Linked DNA regions of Oreochromis niloticus. The protein of the gene in region 2 interacts with the protein of the main gene of each other region in a biochemical or structural test. Links are inferred from orthologs where the notes say so. Each region holds a gene or a part of one and is shown on either strand. Other genes may lie near its edges.

Evidence for each region.
Region 1: the proteins of uba6 (region 2) and ube2g2 form a complex in vitro, tested with the Homo sapiens proteins (2 studies listed by BioGRID, with this or other methods). The link is inferred for Oreochromis niloticus from reciprocal best matches to the Homo sapiens genes UBA6 and UBE2G2.
Region 3: the proteins of uba6 (region 2) and ube2t form a complex in vitro, tested with the Homo sapiens proteins (2 studies listed by BioGRID, with this or other methods). The link is inferred for Oreochromis niloticus from reciprocal best matches to the Homo sapiens genes UBA6 and UBE2T.

Annotation. Positions count from the first base shown.
Region 1 is NC_031987.2:899,364-906,764, reverse strand, and holds the start of ube2g2 (ubiquitin-conjugating enzyme E2 G2), read right to left. Parts: upstream 3,090-7,401; 5' UTR 2,959-3,089; coding exon 2,916-2,958; intron 2,691-2,915; exon of another isoform or gene 2,672-2,690; intron 1,705-2,671; coding exon 1,669-1,704; intron 1,540-1,668; coding exon 1,494-1,539; intron 1-1,493. Other genes in the region: olfactory receptor 10J5-like, read right to left, coding at 4,375-5,337. UniProt on the Homo sapiens protein: Accepts ubiquitin from the E1 complex and catalyzes its covalent attachment to other proteins. In vitro catalyzes 'Lys-48'-linked polyubiquitination. Involved in endoplasmic reticulum-associated degradation (ERAD).
Region 2 is NC_031971.2:22,550,741-22,557,960, reverse strand, and holds the start of uba6 (ubiquitin-like modifier-activating enzyme 6), read left to right. Parts: upstream 1-4,147; 5' UTR 4,148-4,162; coding exon 4,163-4,192; intron 4,193-4,871; exon of another isoform or gene 4,872-4,927; intron 4,928-5,394; coding exon 5,395-5,486; intron 5,487-5,634; coding exon 5,635-5,729; intron 5,730-5,816; coding exon 5,817-5,845; intron 5,846-5,963; coding exon 5,964-6,058; intron 6,059-6,807; coding exon 6,808-6,919; intron 6,920-7,220. Other genes in the region: grhprb (glyoxylate reductase/hydroxypyruvate reductase), read right to left, coding at 225-346, 436-566, 946-1,081, 1,365-1,469, 1,570-1,658, 1,772-1,888, 2,050-2,122, 2,204-2,337 and 1 more. UniProt on the Homo sapiens protein: Activates ubiquitin by first adenylating its C-terminal glycine residue with ATP, and thereafter linking this residue to the side chain of a cysteine residue in E1, yielding a ubiquitin-E1 thioester and free AMP.
Region 3 is NC_031984.2:18,400,873-18,408,771, forward strand, and holds the start of ube2t (ubiquitin-conjugating enzyme E2 T), read left to right. Parts: upstream 1-4,879; 5' UTR 4,880-5,039; intron 5,040-5,327; 5' UTR 5,328-5,328; coding exon 5,329-5,437; intron 5,438-6,132; coding exon 6,133-6,202; intron 6,203-6,305; coding exon 6,306-6,411; intron 6,412-6,542; coding exon 6,543-6,641; intron 6,642-7,068; coding exon 7,069-7,152; intron 7,153-7,899. Other genes in the region: uncharacterized protein zgc:194242, read left to right, coding at 942-1,122, 1,230-1,426. UniProt on the Homo sapiens protein: Accepts ubiquitin from the E1 complex and catalyzes its covalent attachment to other proteins. Catalyzes monoubiquitination. Involved in mitomycin-C (MMC)-induced DNA repair.

The DNA.
Region 1 (7,401 bases), on a different chromosome or scaffold from region 2:
TCTGTAGGTAGACCAGGCCTTGGTCTTCAGATTAAGACTTCTCCAACACTCGACATCTTTAAAATCCGCCTGAAGACACATTTTTACTCCCCAGCGTTTAAATTTGAACACTTTTGTGTTGTCTTGTTTCCTGCTCTGTTTTCTTTCAGCCATAAATCCACTGACTTGTCTTAACTTTGTGTTACTGGGGAGTGTACTGATAGCTGTGTTTCATCTCCAACACTTTGAGAACAGCGACACCTTCTGGTCTCACTCGGTCATCGTCACACTGAACCTGTGAGTCTAGTTGCCATGGTTTACAGGTATGAGGGTGAATTCATGACTCAAACTGCAGGTTTTTACTTTCTGAGTTTGGCATAAAGTGTGAAACAGGTTAACGAAACAAATACAGAGAGGTGAGCCTGTTACAAACACTAACAGCTGCTAATAAAAGGATCAGACAACTGATCCCAGCAGACGGGAGGTTAAAGCCATGAGGGTGCAGCATCGTTCACTTTTTAAATGCAATTAGTGTGATTAGTGGATCTACGGAGATCCGTCGCTGCTTTCATGACTGAGCCTGACCTTTAAGCACCCAGCATAGAAGTGAAAGCAACTCGTTTGTGCAACAGCCAAATTAGACAAATGCTGGTGCTCACAGAAGTGCTTCAGGTGACTGTGAACGTGAGTGTTGGTCTGGGTGTTTCACAAACTGCTGATATGAAACATCAGAGTTTACAGAGAAGGTCTGAAGGACAGAAAACATCCAGTGAGCAGCAGTCCTCTCGGGGGAAATGCCTGGTTGAGGTGTGAGGACAGACTGCTTCAAGCTGATAGTAAAAGCAACAGGAACTCAAATAACCACTCATAACAACCGAGGTATGCAGAAGAGCACCCCTGAGCCTTAGAACAGATGATCTACAGCAGCAGAAGACCACACTGGTGCCACTCCCACCAGCTAAAGGACATTTTATACCTGCTACGCGCTGCCTTGCAAACAGCACCTTACAACAGAGCTAACGTCATTTCCACTGTCACTAGCTGCCACTGCTGCAGGTCTTATATCAGCGATGATGTGGAGGAATCGTCCGAGTGGCAACACCAATTGTTCAGGAGAACACTGCAGCGGCTTCCTGGGCTGTAGCAGCGAGTATAAACAGAAGCAGCTGTGTGATGACGATGCCAGCAGTGTGGGAAATGACCGCAGCCTCGCCTCTGTCAGTGCGCCCCAGGGCGGCTGTGGCTACAATGTAGCTTGCCTCCACCAGTGTGTGAATGTGTGGATGACTAAATGTGTAAAGCGCTTTGGGGTCCTTAGGGACTAAGTAAAGCGCTATACAAATACAGGCCATTTACCATGTACCATTACTCTAACCCAGTACTAGTAAACTGTACCCAATAAAGCGGCTGTGAGAGTCCAGTTACAACTGACACATACACAATAACACTCCAAAACAAATACAAACACCCAAAAATGACTCAAACGTGTGTTTCCATGGAGACGGGGTACTCACATGATAAGAGCCTCCCACTCGAAGAAGTTCTCCTCGTTCACTGGACCTGCACAGCAAACACAAACTCTTTAAATCTCCTGCTCTCAGAGCTGCTCGGGTGTCTGACTGTTAGAACAACACACTGAACATCTGAGGGCACATCTGCAGAAGCTACAGATGTGTTCTGGTGTCTCACCTGCCACGATGCCCTCAGGTGGGTTCAAAGTCAGCTCTGAAGCACAAACACAGAAAGATGAGTGACCTTTGACCTCTGCTGTGATCCGGTATCAGTCACATTTTTAAACAGCTGATGGATTGTTTGCTTTCCCATATTGAAGAAACGATTAACATTTATTCATTTAAAAACAGCCTAAGGCAAGAAAGCAGTTATAAAAGACTTCCCAATTATCTTAAATACCAATCAGGTTTACCACAATGATCTATGTCGAACTGTTTATCCATAACTGTAAATCATCAAGTTTGCACACTTATACACAACATAATACAACTGTAATTACCCCTAACCTGTAAAGTTGCAATTGTTATACATAGCTCTACATATACACCATAATATATACTCTGTATATATTATCACTGTGACAGTGTTGCAACTACTTGCACTTTAAATTCTGTTTACACCCACATAAGCTACAAGATTTACAAAGCACTGTTTGTCTGTTTTACTTTCTTTTAGTCGTGTGAAGGGAACGTACAAAGTAAAAATTTCATTGCTCTGCGTAACCATTTGTGTTTTGCGGTGTACATGACAATGAAGTTCTTGAATCTTGAATGCATCGACTAATCTGTGCAGAATTCACATTATTACACAAGATTAAAGTGTAGCAGCCTGAAATGAGCGCATTAAATAAATGACAGGCCTAAATATGAATGTGTACCGAGGCTAATCCCCCAGTTAAAGTTCTTATCGTTAGCCCTCAATGCACCAAATTACATTTAAAAACCTTCAAATTTATCACTTTCAGAAAAGGCAAATCAGCCGCCGTGTCAGTGCAGCGCTGAAGCCTCGCAGCGAGTTTTCCACCTGCGCTCTGTGTTCCTGTAATCAGCATATAAACATGATGTTCGCACTTTGTGTTCATTTATCACACTTTAGAAAAGTTTTGAAAGTTACATCACGGCAGCTACATGGAACATTCTGGATAACGCCACACACACGTTATATAAGCTCCAAATTATACCGCGGTTTAAACTGCAGGTGGACAAAGCCGACACCGGATTATTCACACTGTGCAGACATTCATCAGGTTATCGGTTTGAGTCGCAGGAGAGAAGAACAAACGCGGACAACAAAGAAAAGCTCAAACCGACCGAACTTTTAACGGAGTTTCGTACAGAGATACAGGCGCTCGCGGGTTGTTAGCTTAGCATGCTAGCTAACATTAAAAGACCTCCCATTGGCTGAAAGCGGCTCGCGTTACTCACGTTTGTACTCGGCCATTAGTCTCTTTAGCGCTGTGCCAGCCATCGTGTTTACCGGAGAAAACAACAAACAAACAAATAAACAAAAGCGGCTCAGTTTCTCACGTTCTCACAAAGCAACGGACCAACAGCTGATCCGACTGAGCATGCGCAAAACGTGTTTCAGTTTGCGTGTCAGCAGACAGCGCACCCTGTCGACAAAAATAAAAACAATTAATTTAAAAACAAATAAAAAAATAATTAATTGTTTAATAATTAAGCTCATTTGTTTAATTGTAAACTTAATTTTACTCAAGTAAATGTTTTTGTGCCTTTAATAAATGTTATATAGTCTTTTTATTCAATTTTGTCTTTATTTAATTTAATTTATGTATGTAATTGATTTCCTTACCTGGATGACTGAGCATCAAGATGTATGCATGTAATAATAAGTTACGGTCTAACTGATTGCTTTTCTGTACAGTTAGCTTTTCTGTGCCACAGCAGATGTGTTTTGTTGTTGTTGTTGAATACTCAAATACATAAATAATAAAATAAATAAATAAATTCAATTCAAGTCAACTTTATTTATACAATGCCAAATCACATCAACAGTCACCTCAGGGTGCTTTATATTGTAAGATGGACCCTACAGTAATACATACAGAGAAAAACCCAACAATCATATGACCCCCTATGAGCAAGCAATTTGGCAACAGTGGGAAGGAAAAACTCCCTTTTAACAGGAAGAAACCTCCGGCAGAACCAGGCTCAGGGAGGGGCGGGGCCATCTGGACCCACTGGTTGGGGTGAGAAAAGGAAGACAGGATAAAGACATGCTGTGGAAGAGAGCCAGAGATTAATAACAAGTGTGATTTAGTGCAGAGAGGTCTATTAACACATAGTCAGTGAAGAAGTGTCTGACAGCGAATGACTGACAGGAAATAGTACCACATGTGAAAAGTGATGATTTCCTGTTTTTCTCTTTTTACTTGTAATGACTCATTGGTCTGTGTGACCTTTGACCTAAGAGTGCAGTTTCCACTGAATAATTGATCAATAAGAATTGATAAGACTGATTAATACAACCAAACAAGAAGAATCCAGACTGTTTTTAAAATATTCAAACAGCAGTCAGAACTCAACTTTGTTACTTTATATAGTGAGAAGTTTCTGTGGCCTGAATATTGAACTGCTGGATTTTGCCCATATTATTTGCTGAGGGGACTTTTATCTGTTGTTGTTGTTGCTGTGTGCAAATGCTGCAGCTGCATACAGCTGCCACATCAGAACGTGCTGCAGTATGTTCCTCTTTATCAGGAAGTCTAGTTCAAGGCCCTCTGCTGCCTCCCCCAACAAGATGTGGATGAACTAAAGAGCATAAAATGAAAATGAATGTTGATTACAAAACAAATATTTATGACCTTTTTTCTGATTATGGGAGTGGAGTCAGAGACCAGAACTCAGGATCTGGTTCTGTGGGTTATTCAGCTCTCTGGCAGCCCAGCAGCCTCCTCAGCTGAGCCCTGATCTCCGTCACCTTTAGGCCATACACCACCGGGTTGAACACAGTCGGGATCATGACCTGGAGGATGGAGGTGAGGACAGAGGCTGTGGGCTGACTGCCAGCCTGTAGGCGGCGCTGCAGCACCTCCACCCCAGAGCTCACGCTGTAGTTACAGAAGACGAGCAGGTGCGGCAGGCACGTGCTCAGTGCTTTGCTGCTGAAGCTGCGCGAGCGCCGCAGGCAGATTGACAAGACGGCGCTGTAAGAGAAGAGCACAAAGATGGCGGGCAGCAAGACAGTAGCCACGATGACCGAGAGGTTGTAGACTTCGCTCAGCAGTGTCTCACGACCACCACAGCTCAGACTGACCAGGCTGTAGATGTCGCAGTAGATCCTGCTGAGCTGCGAGCGGCAGAGCGGCAGGCGGCTCGCCAGCAGCACCGCAGTGCCGACCAGCCCGACAGGCAGCAGCCAGCAGAGCAGCAGCAGTGCCAGCACTGTGGCTGGAGACATGACAACGGTGTAGAGCAGCGGGCGGCAGATGGACACGTACCGGTCAAAGGACATGGCTGCTAGCAGTAGGAAGCTGGAGGTGCCCGATGAATATAAAAGCCAGGCCTCACACATGCACCCACGCAGGGTCACCTGCACTGAGCGGCCCCCCCTCAGCAGGTCCACCAGGAGTTTGGGGTAAAACACCGTGCTGCCCGCCACAGAGTTCATCAGCACAGCCGCCACAAACACAAACATGGGGCGGTGGAGGCTCCGCTGGGAGCAGATCACGTAGACCACCAGGCTGTCGCTGCACAGCATGAACAGGTAGGCGCACAGGAAGAAGAAGAAGAAGAAGAGCCGCTGATTGGACAGCTGCGCCAGGCCGTCCAGGGTCACTGATGTCACCAGGATGGGCAGTGAGGTCACGTTTACCCCTGCTGACATCATCGGGGGAGACACAACAATCTGAGGGTGTCAGCTGACAGAAAGCTCTGGAACAGCTGCACACAAGTTTAAACCATCAAATCGAAAACAGAAGCAGAAAAAATATTGTTTCAATATCAGATCATCAATTTGCAATTTATCATGACATCATTAAATGATCATTTAAGGCATCAACGTTTAGGTTATAACCACTTGAATAATGTTTTAAATCAACCTTTGAATCATCAACACTTTAAATGTTCAAACTGTATAATTGTTTAAATTAATAACATTTACTCTTTTATTATTTCAATAAAATAAATGTCAGCATTTAAAGACTTAAACTAACATTTAAATCGATATTATATGTGTTTAAAATCATTCTTCACATCTTCAACACTTATGAACATATAAAAATGTTACATATTAAAACAGTTTAAACAATCAACTGAATCATTTTTAACATAATATCTTTACAATTTTATCATTTATCATCATCAGTGTCAAAAAATAAAATCATCAGCATTTAGATTATCAGTGTTCAAAACATATATCTTCTCGCAGACGATCGAGTAAAGAACTATTTAACTCAATATTTTAAGTTTTATCTTTTAAATCTTTGCTTTAAAAACAACATTTAGATGATTAACAACAAAATATCTACATTTAACTTCACATATGATTATATAATCTGTGTTTACATAATCATTTAAATAATAATTTTGGAGTTAAGCGTCAAAATTATAAATTATGAAATTTAAAGAATAAATGTTTACATCATTATTGTTTAAATAGTCACACTGATATGATGGATTTTATAAAGAACTTTTTTCAGTGTAAAACATCAATGTTCAAAACACTAATGAACAAGAATGAACGAATATAATTATCAGCTATATCACACTAACTCTTTATCCTTGATTTTCAAAACAACATTAAAGTCATTATAGTTAAAACAATATTAAATCAATAACATTTGAATGATAAAAAGTTAAACACAAAAAAGTACATCATCAAACTTCAGACATAGAAAGAGACACACATGCTCCCACACCTGGATCATGTGGGCTGTGACAGGTTTGAGCTGTATTTATGATCCTCTCGCCTCAGTGGAGCTCATTAACTCTGCCTTATCTTCATCGTCTCTATCATCCTCCTCAGCATCGAATGTTTGATATTTTTCCTTCACTGAGGCTGTAAGCATGTTTCTCTCCAAGGGTTGAATCTGGAATCATGTTAGGGATGACTGTGAATTTTCAGTGGAAAAAACATCTTAACCTAAAAAAATAAACATTTTACAGTAAATTGTCAAACAGAAAAACCGTCATCTCTGTAAGCATAGTCTTTAGGTTCTAGGTTTAAATCTGTTTAGAGGTAAAACAGAAAACCTTAAATAATATATATAAATATATAATTAATGGTTGTAGCCAAAACATCACCCATTTGTCTTTGGACTCTGTAAAGTAAGTGAGTCAACTTAAATTTTAAAGAGCTTTTCACAGGCAAGTAGTGACAAACACTGTACAACAAAACAAGTTTGGGCACAGAATAATGCAAAAACAACTGCTGTCAGCAAAAGTCTCAAAACAAGGCCTGGTTAGAATAAAACAAAAAAAACAACAACAAACACTGCTTTTTAATAGAGTTAGCTAAATGTAGGCGTAGCAGCAGACTGTTCCATAGTCTTGTTTTCTCAAACTGAAAGCCTCTGTCCTCCCCAGTCTCCAATCTTGGAGTGCGTGCACACTGAAGGACATGTCCTGGTCAAAAATGACTCCAAGGTTCCTCACAGCATTACTGGAGGCCAAGGTAATGCCATCCAGAGTAAGAATCTGCTTAGATACCATATTTCTAAGATTTTCAGGGCCGAGTACAATAACCTCAGTTTGATCTGAATTAAGAAGCAGAAAGTTAGCGGCCATCCAGGTCTTTATGTCTTTAAGACATTCCTGCAGTTTAACTAATTGGTGTGTGTTACCTGGCTTCATGGATAGATAGAGCTGGGTGTCATCTGCATAGTAGTGAAAATTTATGCTATGTCTTCTAATGATGCTGCCTAAGGGAAGCATGTATAATGTAAACAGA
Region 2 (7,220 bases):
TTTTTTTCATATAATTTCAAAATCAGAAATCAGGAAGTGGGCAAAAACTTTTTCACAGCACTCTAGAATGCCAAACTAAAAAATGTGAAACTGAAGACTAAAGAAAAAGGAGACAGTTGCAACACTGCATGGATTTACTTCAGTCAGCAAAACATATTTTGAACAGTAAGTAGAACTAATCATCCACTATTTGATCATTTTTTCAGAGTGGAAGCTGTTTCTTCTTAAAGCTTGAGCTCTTTGATCATCGGCTGCCCTCGCAGGCCCAGGAGGAGGTTGTTTGCCGCCAAGGAAGACATGGCATCACGGGTAGTATAGGAGGCACTCGCAATATGGGGTAGAATCACTGCAGGAAGAGAAAATATTAAAACCAAATGATAGGCAGAGAGGACCAAGTGTGGTTTAAAAACCTGTTCAAAGTAGCAGAATGCTCACCACAGTTTTTGAGTGTAAACAGTGGGTGGTTGGTTGGCAGCGGCTCGGGAACAGTGACATCTAATCCAGCTCCTGCGATCTGCCCTGTGGACAGAGCTTCATACAGGTCTTCCTGGTTCACCACCCCGCCTCTGCACAACAGCAAAAGCACAGTTATAGACTCAAAGGGCAGAATCCTCGCTGCTGATTGCCTACAGTACATATCCATTTCTCCAGATGCAGGTCACCGAGAACTTAAATGATTAGTCATTCTAACTTTCTATTAGTCAACTAATCAACTGTGGAGATCATTTTGTGAAACTGCGAGCAATCCTAATATCTCAAATATAAATATTTGGATTTGAGGAAACACAATGGTCATTTCTTAAAACCATTGGCTTGCATTTTGTGTATTAAATGGTGATCAGTGAAGGAAAATAACCTGTTATCAGGTTAATCAGTAATTAATGAGCACAACACTCACAGACCACTCTTGGGGTCTTGGGTCATGCATGTATCAGGTAGGGGTACCTGCTCGTGTTGATGAAGATGGAAGTCTTTTTCATCTTGGAGAAGAGGTTCTTATTGCAGATCTCCTTTGTCTCTGGTGTTAGAGCACAGCACACAGCCAGGAAATCTGATTGCTTTGCCAGCTCATCAAAAGAGACTAGAACAAGATACAGTGCAAGGTTATTAAAAATAAACTGAAAACTAAAATAAAACAAACCTTTTTAGCTGGTAGGAATCAGATGAAAACTACACTAGATGCACTAATATCACTTTTATTATCATATTAAGTTTGTGGGTGGTTCTTAGGACTTCAAGAAAGACTTATGAAAAGTCAAAAGGTTTTAAATAGCCTTATCTTTTGACTAGCCCCATCTGCCCTGTTGACAGGGGATCTTTTGTCCACATATCATAGAGTAACATCCTTGCTGGGTCTTCCTTACCATATTCTGCATTGATGACACTCGCCAACTCAGGCCTGGGGGCCACATCTGTGTAGATAAACTTCTTTACTTTGAAAGGTGCCAGACGCTCAGCAATGGCCACACCTTTGAGTACAAGCACACACTGTAAAAAGCTCATAACTGACAGAAATGGCAGTTTGACGATACGCTGATGTAAAGGTTGTCTTAGTGATGTGCTGCTTACCGATTCTGCCTAGTCCAAGAATACCGACAGTGCTGTTGGCCAGCTCATAACCACACAGCCACAGCGTTCTCCACGTGCCCCAGCCACCACTGGCGTCAGTGAGAGAAAGAGAGAGAATTTATTTTGCACAATTTGCATTTGTGCATGTATGTTTTAGTAAATCTTCCACGTATGTGTGATCTTATTTTGTATATGACAGTACGTCTTGGCCTCATGTGTGGCCTCTATGAGCCTCCTGGAGGTCGCAAGCAGCAGAGCTACTGTCAGCTCAGCAACAGCATCTGTCAGGACTTCAGGGGTATAACCTATACGGATTCCTCTGTAGGAAAACATAAACATTGCATACAACGTTACATGAATATTTCACTGCCTGTTTGCATGTTAAGAACCTTTTTTCTTAAAGGGAAAATCACTCTCAGTAGAGCCATGAATGGCATTCACATGTGTTACAATAAAATAAAACAGAAAGAGGGAACTCACCGTTTCTTCAGCTCATCCAAAGACAGATGATCGAATCCCACTGACATTGTACTGAGGACCTTCAGGTTTGGACCTGCAGGAATACGTCACACATATAAAGACATGCAAGGCTGTTTGTTGCATTTAGGTTATTTGTCAAAGGCAAAGGGCAGACCTGCAGCGTCCAACAGTTCCGCATCAATTTTTTCCGTCAGCGTGCAAAGCAGACCATCTACACCTTTGACCTTCTGAAGGAGCTCCTTCCTGGGCACCGGTATGTCATCTGAGTTCCACAGCTCAAACTGCACCCTAGGGAAACAGAAATCACATGACTGAAGATTTAAATCAAATCCAGTTTTCCTCTATCGTCACCTGAAGGAAATTTACTGGTCAAAGATGAAAAAAAATCCCAAATACATGAGCACAGGTTTCACATTTTTATACAGATAATGGCTCTTCTTAGAGATACATAATGTCAAAGTGCCTTTCATTGAAATCCTGGGATTTTAGGGTGCAGTGAAACATTTGTGCAGCTCTCTTTCTCAGGGAATACCCTTTAGACTATGTGCTTTATTTGACGAGACCTTAAGGCAAACATTAGCAGTCATGTTTGTTCAAAGTAAATGATGAACCTCTCAGACCAGATATTCAAACTGCTTAAAGTGATCAGTGTCAAATCTCCTGCGGCACACATCGCAAAGTTACATTAAAACGCTAAAATTTGTTATTTTAAGTGACATACCAGGATACTAAAAATAACTCACTGTCCGGATTCGCGGAGGATCTTCAGGCCCTCAGGTGGGATCTGTCGTGTGACATAGATGCGCGGCAGGGTTGACATCTCCCTCTGGATGTTGCTTGTTAGACTCCCGGTAATGTTCAAAGGAGTAACGGCGATCTTCTGGAGCCGACGGAGTGCCATGCGACTGCACCACATTGCAGCGTAAGTGCGTGGGCAGAGTGTCCACAGTGTAGGATGAGTAAACTCTGGAGACTGTTGTGGGATTTGTGTGTGATTCTGGCTGCAGTTCAAGGGGGAGGCTCCTTTGTGAACTAACCAATATGATAAAAGGGTGGGAGTCTGAAGGTTTGAAAGGGGAAAAGTCTGAAGGTCTGAAGGTTAGAGATACTTATCCCTAGTTCCCCCCCAGAGAAGCAAAAATCGGTCCAATTTTGTCTCTGATTATGGAACTAGAGGCTCTTTATATTCAAAACAAAGAGACACAAGCATAACTAACCGCTGTGACAAAGACAGTACCAGAATTGTGTTTTCCATCCAGAACTGGAGCAAGTTGTGGTGTAAATGTTTCACTTAGCTGGTGAACTTTGTTTCTTTAAATGGGGGGGGGCTGAACATTGTTTTTTATCTTCTGTTTTCACTGGCTGCGACTAGTTTTGATATCTTTGTTTTTCCAACCTGAGCCTGCTTGCGTTGTCATGAACATAGAAGAGTTGTTGCTTGGTTGATTGCTTATTTTTTCTCAAACTGAAAAATAAAATACCCCTAACCCATAAAATGGCTGGAGGAGGTACTGTCACACCTCAAATCCAAAGCGATAAAGCAGACTCATCATCGACAAGGTTGATTTAAGATAAGGCAATCTTTTCTGACATGTTTCTGCTGTTTCTGTCCTGCTTTCAGTTAGATGGACCTTAAAATCATTATTGTGTTACAGGTATTACTTTTGTGTTACTTCTTTTCTTTTATGAGTAGAATGCATTGTTGTCACCATATTCACATATACAATATACAAAAGTCTTAAGACACGCTTTATCACTTTATATTTTTGTAGGAAAACAGGAAATAGACTCAGCAACTTATTGAAATGTGCAAACACACATAGAAATACAGTATACAAGGGGAAAAAATAGAGTTTGTATGATTCTAATGAGCTCGGAAGTCAGTATTTAGTATTATTGGTAGAACAGTGTGTTATATATTCTTTAACACAGCCTGGACACTCTTAACCTTTCTTTCTTTAATTATGTAGTCTTCAGGAATAGTTCTCCAGGGTTCTTGTAGGACACTTAAAGCTCTTCTTTGAATGTTGACTTCCTTTTCTTCCCTTCTCTGTCAACATGATCCCACACTGCTTCGGTAATGTTGTGGTCCGGACTCTGAGGAGGCCAATCCATGACTGATAGTGTGTGTTTTTCTAGCCAGGTATGCTTTTACTGCATTAGCCATTGCCAATCACGAGCTTTTCTGATGGTAGTTGTTCAAAATCTGTGTTGATAATTCAGTTTGTTTTGACAAAATCCCCAACACCACTGGCTGAAATGCAGATCGAAACCATGACAGAGCCTGCAATGTGTTTTACAGACCATCACTTATAATTTGTAAACACTCACTTAGACACCAACTGTTGTACCTCTCTTCCGACCTCCTCTGCACGTACTGATGAGCTTTTTTCCCTGCTTCCCCTCCTTAAGACTATATATATATATATATATATAGCAAAAAGAAAGAAAGCAAAAAGATATATATATATTTCTTTTTACTTGCTTTTTAAAAAACCTAACACTGATCTATCTATCTATATATATATATATATGTATATTGCTCAATACCACTTTAAAGAAATACAAGAAAGTCTGGTTCCTTGAGGCAAAATATAAAGAAATGGGTGGTGACTCAAGATTACACCTTTGAAAACAAAATGGTGAAATGTTATTCTTTACAAAAATGTCACCCGAAATCTACTAAATCATCATAAATGTGTGTTATTTTATCAACAACACAAAAATAAGTAACGTTTATTCACAAATATAGTCCTAGAAGTTACCGTGAAGTGATTGGTTGACGTTGGCCACGTGAGTGCTATAACCCGGAAACACTCCAAGTTTTTTAACCAGTCACAGCCATTCATTCGCTGCAGCTCGCTGGGCTTACTGACAGGTACCTGCGTGTGATATTCTGACTAATTTTAACCACATTTATAGCAGTGTTTACATATTGCTTGATAGAAACAACTATTCCTAAAACATTTGTCTACTCCCTGGAGTTATTTGTAGCCTCGTGTTTGTGTCACTACTTTTAATGAGTTTATGAGAAGTGTCTCCGCAACCGGCACCGGGCAGCAGCATTAGCTAGCTGTAGCCGCTAGCGTTGAGCTTCAGCAACTTCATAAGTCATCTAGCTTTACTAAGGCACATGTATTAACCACTTTAATGTCGGGCTTTTTTTAAAGCCGCTTGGTTAATTCAGCTCAGGTCAGCTCAGCTCGGTGGGATCAACCACGTTGCTGACAGCTAACTGGTATCAACAGTTAGTTAGCTGTGCGGCTCATTAACAGCAGGGCGTTGGTTTTAAATCTATATCGCTCAATCAGACAAGGTTAATTACTCTATTTATATTTTTAACAGGAAGCATCTCTATCTGTGAGGCACTTGCTCTCCCCCCCTTCCCCTCCCATCATGGCTACAGACTTGATGGAGATTGACGACTCTCTTTACAGGCAAGCCTCACCATCACTTATAATTTGCCTTTTTAATGGTTTATATTACAGCAAGCGCAGTTATTGTTCGTGGTGTTTCCATTCGTCCTTCTAGCACATTCCTTCACAGTGACTCTTCATCTCTCTCTCTCTCTCTCTCTCTCTTTAGCCGCCAGCGATATGTGCTTGGAGACAGTGCCATGCACCAGATGGCCCAGTCCTCAGTCTTTCTCAGTGGAATGGGAGGACTGGGAGTAGAGATAGGTAGGCAATATTTAATGGTTTGGTGTTTGTATGAGCCACGCAAGCAACTCTAACATGACTCTAAACCTTTTGGGTTTGGTTTCACAGCAAAAAATATTGTCCTGGCTGGTGTAAAGGTAGGTGCGCTCTCTTAATATTACAGCAATGTGTCATTCCCAGCATCTTGCAAGTCCAAAGGTCTTGTAGTCATAATTGTTCGAACCTATACAGTATGTTTGTCCTCTGTGTGTACAGGCAGTCACGCTTCATGACACAAAACAGTGTGAGACCTGGGATCTTGGCTCCAACTTCTTCATCCGCAAAGAGGATGTTTTGAGTCAGAGGAGGAGGTAATGAACCCCACGGGGCGGGACTCTCCTTACGCTCTTAAATAGGCATGCACCAGTGTAGCTTATTCATTCCTCATGAAGATACCTTAAAGGAGTGGGCTGATAATAGTGCTAAATAAGTACATTACAAACCATTCTCTTTTTATGTGAAAGTTATTATTAAAATGACAAAATAACAGGACCAAAACCTAATTAATTTAAACTTGTTTCCTTTCATCTTGGTCTGTGATTAAATTGAATTGTTACAGTTAAGCTATTGCTGCTCCCCTTTGTTACTGTGTATGTCTGTTTAACCATACCCTCCTTGCTTGCACAAGATCATTAAGGACTGCACTAATCAAGTTGTTCAGTTGCTCAAAGTGCAGTTGTAAAGTTTACACAACAATACAGAAATAGTGACACTGACAGGGACAGCACCATTGTCTGTTGTTGTGATCAGCTCAACTGACCACTGTTTGGTTTCTGTTGAATTATAATTAGGTCACAAACTGCTGCTATAAACATTTTGCTGACATAGCAACAGTGAAAAGCCACCAAAGTGACGATCCTTTCTTGTTAGTTTCATAATGTGCTAAATAAAGAATGACACTTTAGTTCAGTTTAACTGAATATAATTGTGATTGACCAGTGCATACCTAATACAGCTCTGAGTAGGTATCAGAGTGATATGTGGTATAAACATTAAGACTGGTGCATCCTTACTCAGATACTCTCTCGTGTTTACCCACTCCCTTGTGTTTTTCCCACAGGGTGGAGGCAGTGTGCCCTCGCGTTGCAGAGTTGAACCCTTATGTCCACGTTGACATGTCTTCCTCTGCTCTTGACGACAACACTGATCTCGGTTTTCTCAGAAGGTACCAGGTAAGTCATTACCTTTCAGACTCCGGGTTGTAAGCTAACTCATTGGTAATAGGACAGACATTTTTTTTTTTTTATAGGTTGCTCCCACGCCCTCAGAAACCCCCTAGTGATTAAAAATATGAGGTGTAGGGAAGTATGAAGACACCCGCCCCTTCCCTGAAGACCAATGTGGCTTAACAAGAGTTTCCAATAGAAAGATTTCATCATAGAGAAACATTTCTGAATCTCAATAAAAACTCATGAAGCTACCCCAGCAGTGTGATTCACTTCACAGCTGCCTCTTACAGATGTTCTAGTTATG
Region 3 (7,899 bases), on a different chromosome or scaffold from region 2:
TAAAGTGCATTATTTCAGAGAAAATACACACACTGGCCACCTGTTTCATTACTTCATTACCAGCTTCAGAGCTCCCTGAATTATCTGTGACATAGATGGTGCTGAAAAAAATTCTCTGATTTGTGTCCATATTGTCATGGAAAAATAAATCACATTGTTGCTGCAGATTTGGCAGGTCTACACCCTTGAAGTGACTTTCCCATTCCACCATAACTCAGAGGTATCCTCTTAAATTGAGATTCAGTGGCTTTGGAGGCCATTTAAAGTGGCCATAAAACACTTGACGTATAAAGGCTATTTTAGATCACCGAGCTCTGCTCTCCAAAACTGGCATAGATGTAACACTGTCTGTGCAGCTCGGTTTAAGAAATAAGTGCTTTAAGTTTGTAAAACATGTTTAGTGCCATCTTGTGTCAGTAGAGAATCTAATGTCACTTGGTTGGTTTGTTGCTGCTTACATTAGACTTACATTAGTTTAAGCTAGATAACTAATAACAGAACCAATAACTCAGTGGAATATAATATGACAAAAATGAGACTAAAATCAGTTCAAGGGGGTCACTATTGTGCTGACGCATTTCACTCTGTACTTCTTAAGCAGTTGTTCCACACAAGATTCTGGCCCTACCATCTAAATGTCACAGCAGAAATCATGAACCATCAGTCTGTGCAAAGTTTTTCTAATCTTCTATCAAGCCCGTGCAAATTAGTGTCTACTAGTGAACAATGTCCTGTTCTTAACCGATTGCACCTGGTGTGATCTAGCCCACCTTCTTTAACGTTTGATGTGTTGTTCGTTTTTCTGCATACCTTGGTTGTAACGAGTGAATATTTATTTAAAAAATAAATAAAAATCAAGCACTGCTGAGCAGGCAGCCAAAACCTAAGAGAAGCATAGCTGCTAATCAAGGGCAATATTGTAATTTTTCTGTCTCTGACAGATGGCAAAGAAACAAATGATGGAACTTATAGCAAATGAAAAAGTGACCCTCCACCACTGTGACGTAGCAGCGATGCCTCTCGGAGACAGCACTGTGGATAAAGTCTTTCACTGTAACTGCTACTACTTCTGGCCTGATCTTAGAAAAGGAGCTGTCGAAATACACCGGGTGATGAAGCCAGGTAATGCCATGACAGTCAGCCAAACTTTATTTACAGATTTATTTCCAAAAGTTGTCTTTAAATAATGATTCTCAAATTAAACGTCCCCATCTTTTTAATCCAACCAGGAGCCCTGATGGTCACAACTCTGAAGCTTTCTCGTGTGGCTACATTCGCAGCGAAGGGGGTGATGCCAGGGGAAAACTGGCGCCCAGAGGCCTACATGGCAGCTCTGAGAGACTCCGGCTTCACTGATGTTAGAATGGAGGACAAGCAGGACAGAAACATTACTTTTCAGGCTATCTTTGCCACTGCCTTCAAATAAGATTGTGTCTTATCTACACTACTTATGTGATTGTGAAGTTTAGTGTGATTATGTCGGTCATTAATGGTCTTCCTTTTGAAGATGGATAAACTTGAAATTATCATAATGATAAACATTTACAGATCAGAAGTTTTTATATAATTTTCTGTCATTCCCTACATGCAATGTTCTTACATCAGTACCATTATACAGTATTGTGATTTTAAAACTTCAAAACAGCATTACTGTGAAAATGGGAAATAAAAAATAATGAAGAACTTTATGGAGGAACCCAATTGCATGAATATGTAATCATACAATAAATGGAAAACAGGAATAAAAGGTTGGTGCCTGCCGTGGTGGTAATCCCCGAACCAAATGGTGGACACCAGAGGTGAAGGGAGCCACCAGGCTAAAGAAGGAGTCCTATCGGGCTTGGTTAGCCTGTGGGACTCCGGAGGCAGCCGACAGGTATCGACAGGCCAAGCGGAATGCGGCCCGGGCAGTGGCTGAAGCAAAAACTCGGGTGTGGGAGGAGTTCGGAGAGGCCGTGGAAAAAGACTTTCGGACTGCCTCGAAGAGATTCTGGCAAACCGTCAGGCGTCTCAGGAGGGGAAAGCGGTGCTCTACCTGCACTGTGTATAGTGCTGGCGGAGCGCTGCTGACGTCGACTGAGAAAATTGTCAGGCGGTGGAAGGAATACTTCGAGGACCTCCTTAATCCCACTGACACGTCTTCTGAGGAGGAAGCAGAGTCTGGGGATGAGGGGAATGACCCGCCAATTTCCAGGGGCGAGGTCACTGAGGCAGTTAAACAACTCCTTGGTGGCAGAGCCCCTGGTGTTGATGAGGTCCGCCCCGAGTTCCTGAAGGCTCTGGACGTTGTAGGGCTGTCCTGGTTGACACACCTCTACAATGTTGCGTGGAGATCAGGGGCAGTACCCCTGGATTGGCAGACCGGGGTGGTGGTCCCCATCTTTAAGAAGGGAGACCAGAGGGTGTGTTCCAACTGCAGGGGGATCACACTCCTCAGCCTCCCTGGGAAAGTCTATGCCAGGGTGCTGGAAAGGAGAGTTCATCCGCTAGTCGAACCTCGGATACAGGAGGAACAATGCGGTTTTCGTCCTGGTCGCGGAACACTGGACCAGCTCTTTATCCTCTCAAGGATACTTGAGGGTGCATGGGAGTTTGCCCAACCAGTCTACATGTGTTTTGTGGACTTGGAGAAGGCATTCGACCGTGTCCCTCCGGGTGTCCTGTGGGAGGTGTTGCCGGAGTATGGGGTGTCTGGCCCATTGCTACGGGCCATTCGATCTCTATACAACCGTTGCAAGAGTTTGGTTCGCATTGGCGGCAATAAGTCGGACTCGTTCCCGGTGGGTGATGGGCTCCGCCAGGGCTGCCCTTTGTCACCGGTTCTGTTCATAATTTTTATGGACAGGATTTCTAGGCGCAGCCAAGTGGCGGAGGGATTTCGCTTCGGTGGCCTCAGAATCTCATCTCTGCTTTTTGCGGATGATGTGGTTCTGTTGGCTTCATCAGGTGAAGGCCTCCAGCTCGCACTGGAACGGTTCGCAGCCGAGTGTGAAGCAGCGGGAATGAGGATCAGCACCTCCAAATCTGAGGCCATGGTTCTCAGCCGGAAAAGGGTGGAGTGCCCACTCCAGGTCGGGGATGAGTTCCTGCCCCAAGTGGAGGAGTTCAAGTATCTCGGGGTCTTGTTCGCGAGTGATGGGAGAAGGGAGCCGGAGATCGACAGACTGATTGGTGCTGTGGCTGCAGTGATGCGGACGCTGCACCGGTCCGTCGTGGTGAAGAGGGAGCTGAGTGTAAAAGCGAAGCTCTCAATTTACCGGTCGATCTACGTCCCTACCCTCACCTATGGCCACGAGCTGTGGGTAGTGACCGAAAGAATGAGATCGCGGATACAAGCGGCAGAAATGAGCTTCCTCCAAAGGGTGGCTGGCCTCTCCCTTAGAGATAGGGTGAGAAGTTTGGCCATCCGGGAGGGGCTCAGAGTAGAGCCGCTGCTCCTCCACATCGAAAGGAGCCAGTTGAGGTGATTCGGGCATCTGACAAGGATGCCTCCTGGGCGCCTCCTGGGTGAGGTGTTCCGGGCATGTCCCACCGGGAGGAGGCCCCGGGGCAGACCCAGGACACGCTGGAGAGATTATATCTCTCGGCTGGCCTGGGAACGCTTTGGTGTTCCCCCGGATAAGCTGGAGGAGGTGGCTGAGGAGAGGGAGGTCTGGGCTTCTCTGCTTAGGCTGCTGCCCCCGCGACCCGGCCTCGGATAAAGCGGATGAAGATGGATGGATGGAGGAATAAAAGGATTAGAAAGAATACAACACACAAGATGATACCAAAGTCTTATAGTGCTTCTGCTGTCAAAACAAAACAAAAATCATGGTGTCACCTCCAAGTGGGGTCGTGTTAACAATCCATTAACATTTACTTTACATCCGTCAACTTAATGATTTATTGGCTTAAAATCCACAAAAAGCATTATAACTTTAAAGATTTTAAAATATCATAACTGACCTGTGACCTTTCCTTCAGGGTCAATAGATTGATCTGAAGGTCCAAGTGATAATGTTATATCAAACTACATCTATGTTTCTTACTGTCATATAGACATACAGGCATTTAATTATATATGGAGATTATAAATATCACGTTACTTTGGACCTCTGTCCTCTTCTTCGAGGTTAAATAAGGTCAAACTTCAATAAAATAAATTCTACTACATTTTTTTTTGTACTGACAACATTTAGGAAATGATACTGTTATATGGGGTAAGTATCACATTATAGTTTGCTTCCAAATATAATTTCACATTTGATCTCTGATCTCACTTTTACATTTCACGTGTGTCTTCTTTTCATTCAAGTTGACCAAAAATGGCTATATCTTTAAAGAAAGTGTTGTCAAGAAAAAAATGATGAACTGCTTTGTTAGTTAGATATATAGTAGTGTAAATTGTAGTGCAATATTAGATCATATGCTCAAGTCTTTCAAATCCATTTGTTTACAAATCAGTACCTATTATCCATTACCTACTCCTAGACAATATTTGTATAATCAAATTATATTTGTCATGCATTTTTTGAAACCTCTTAAAGTACATTTAAAAAGAACAAAGAAAACTAAATTAATTTATTGAAAATACACAATTATTACCTTAAAAATAAATACTGACTAGAGACCAGAGAGTCACCCGGAGATTCTTCTTGTTCCTTTTTGTAAGGCTGTAAATGAAAAGTGATTTTAGTATCCTCTAAGAATCATATTTCACACATACACATGAATGGTTAGTTGCCCAGTGTTTCGAGGGGCAAGCAGAGAGGCCACTGGATTGCAGGATGATCAATGTAACACTGTTAAATTAAAAATAAAAATGGTGCTGTGTTATTTGTACGCAGAAGTAGCCTCCTGGTAGCTCATACTCGGGACCAGACGGTGGCGGTAATTCATCTGAATAAATTCAACAGAAGAAGAAGAACGGCGCGCGGGCGGTGCTTACGTAAGGAGAGGGAAATCCAAAACAGAGCCGACGACACTTCTTCACCGAGAGCTGTGAAGCTGAAATTTCGATTAAGATAGACAGCGATTATCAAGTGGACAGCTGATAAAAAGTAAGGAAACGAGAGTTGCTGTTCACCTGACAAATTGTTATTAGACTTTTTGACGAAGAAGGTGTTTATTTTTCGGCCTTCACATTAGTAAGCAAAGGCGTTAGCTCAGCATCACAAGACTGTCACAAGAAGGCAGCTAACATCAAAAACAAACCACTGTCTCATTGAGCGGTTTGACAATAAATGTTCTACGTTTAAGATTAAATATTTACAAGCGTGTGTGGAGACTGACCCACGAATCCGAGGCATTTAAGTGTAACGCTAATTAGCCAGCTGCCTGTTTTTCAGAATGCAGAGGGCTTCTCGTTTGAAGCGTGAACTTCAAATGCTAAGCACCGAGCCACCCCCTGGGATAACATGCTGGCAGACCGAAGATCAGATAGACGACCTCCGGGCACGTATGTACTACTGTGTCACTGAAACGACTAAAGATATACTTACCAGACACTTTCTTATGTGCATTGTTAGTACCAAGTTGGACCTCTTTGTTGCCTTCAGAACTATCGTAATCTTTAACAGCGGCGGTACCCAGTTAGGTCTCTGCTCCTGTGGCCCGTCTGCTTCTAAATTTGATGCGTTATGCGTTCATCAAGGCTCTTTTGGATTGTTTCCTTCCTATCAGCTCAAACCAGCGTAGCCATTTTCCTCTGACCTCTGAAATCAGTGGGGCATTTTGACCCAGAGATCTCCTCCTGGTCACTGGATATTTTTCATTTTGGACATTTCTCTGTGAATTCTAGAGATGGTTATGTGCAAAATCTCAGTAGATCAGCAGATCCTGAAAGACTCTGACTACCAAAGTCACTTAAATCGGCTTTCCTTCCGATTCTGATGCTCAGTTTGAACTTCAGCAGGTTGCTATGAGCATGTCTATATGCCATAATGCACTGAGTTGATGCCTCGTGATTAGCTGATTATCAGACAGTTGAACAGGTGTACCTAACAAATTGTCAAGATACATTTTCCTATACTATATACTCAGAATATTTCACCTGATTAAAATCACTCTGACATAGCATCCATTTTTCAGTGGATCCTGTCAATAAAATATTTCAAGTACATGACCATATGTTTAACCCCTTTTATGTTCCAGAGATATTGGGTGGATCAGGAACTCCTTATGATGGTGGAGTGTTCTCCTTGGAGGTCAAGATTCCAGAGAGGTACTTCTTCTTTGAGCTTTAACATTGATGGGTTTCTATCTACCAGTTACATGTTCTCACTCCACTCTAGCAGGACTGACATGCTTTTTTTTTTCTCTCTTAGGTACCCATTTGAGCCTCCCAAAATACGATTCTTGACTCCAATCTACCATCCAAACATTGACAATTCAGGACGGATCTGCCATGATGCTCTTAAACTGCCACCAAAGGTTATAAGAGATTTCCAGTACATAAAAACTCTTTATTTCAACACCATTACATGGTGGACACAAGGATATATGTTGCATTTTATACATTTTAGATGTAGTGTTGTCTTTATATTTATTTGATTTTTTTTCAGGGTGCCTGGAAGCCATCTCTAAACATCTCCACAGTCCTCACTTCCATACAGCTACTCATGGCAGAGCCAAATCCAGACGACCCACTGATGGCTGATATAGTGAGTCACACATAGTCTGTTGTCCATCCTATATATCAAACTATCTGTCATACACAATCTGTCTGTGGTGGTTTTATTTTATTTTTTAAAAAACTGTGAGTTACCTATATCATCATGTAACAGTAGCTCTTTATTTAAAAATTCAAAAACAAAAACAGTTTTAAAGACATTGTCTTGACTAAAATACGTAGTTCAGTTTTTAATTGATTCAAATTCATCCCTGGAAATAAAAGGTATCCTAAGTAATTAAAGGCAAGTCCATGAGTGTGGTAAATGCCAAAATGACTTGTTTAGATGCAAGTCAAAAACCCCTTTAACCTAAAACCTGTTGGGTTAGAGAGCAGCTGTGTTCAGTTGTAGTACAGTGAATGATTGTATAACCCAACTTTATATGCACTTTTATTTATCTATTTTTCCCGTAATTTAGTCATCGGAATTCAAATACAACAAACACCTGTTTATGGAGAAGGCCAGGAAGTGGACACAAGAACATGCCATCCAGAAGAATTCTGTAAGTTACTAAGGACTTTCTGTGATTTATGTGCGGTTTAGATTTTCTTTTTAAGAATAGAATAGAATAGAATAGAATAGAATAATTAATCATTTAATATAATTACGCTCCGACTGCTGCTCTATTCTTAGTCACATGATTCCTGTCACTTGCTCCACAACACTGTTAATGTGTTAGTTGTGTGTACTGTTTTATTTGACCCACAAGGTTGTGCTGTGCTCCTGCAATAGAATATTATATGCCAAGTAAATATAACTTGTTTTTCTGCAGTCGCATTAAAGTGAAAATAACCTCCTTGTGTGATTGCACTGAATTTTTTTTGCATTCTGTGATTGAAGGTTGAGGGTGTTGCATGCTCAACCTCTGGACATACCTCCTCAATTGTAAGGTGACTGCACAGATCGCCTAGAGGGAAGCAACTTGTCCAAACAATTCAGATTGACTGTAATCACTCCCAGAAAGATTGGCAAGGTTTTGCAAATATTTGCTCTCTAATCTATAAACACAGAGAGATTGCTAGCATGTGACAGCTGATTTAAATTAGTTAGTCAGTCAGAGCAACTGAACTGGCAATTTTTACTATATAAAAGCAAAGTTGCCAAGCACCTATGGCATTTTGCGGTTAGATTGCTGTCCTGCAGCAATCATGTCTCTTTGTGGAGGAACTTCTGAATTTATGGCAACAGGTGGCAAGAGATTTGGAATTTTGCTACTAATCTTACTACTTAATTATGACAAACATTTTGC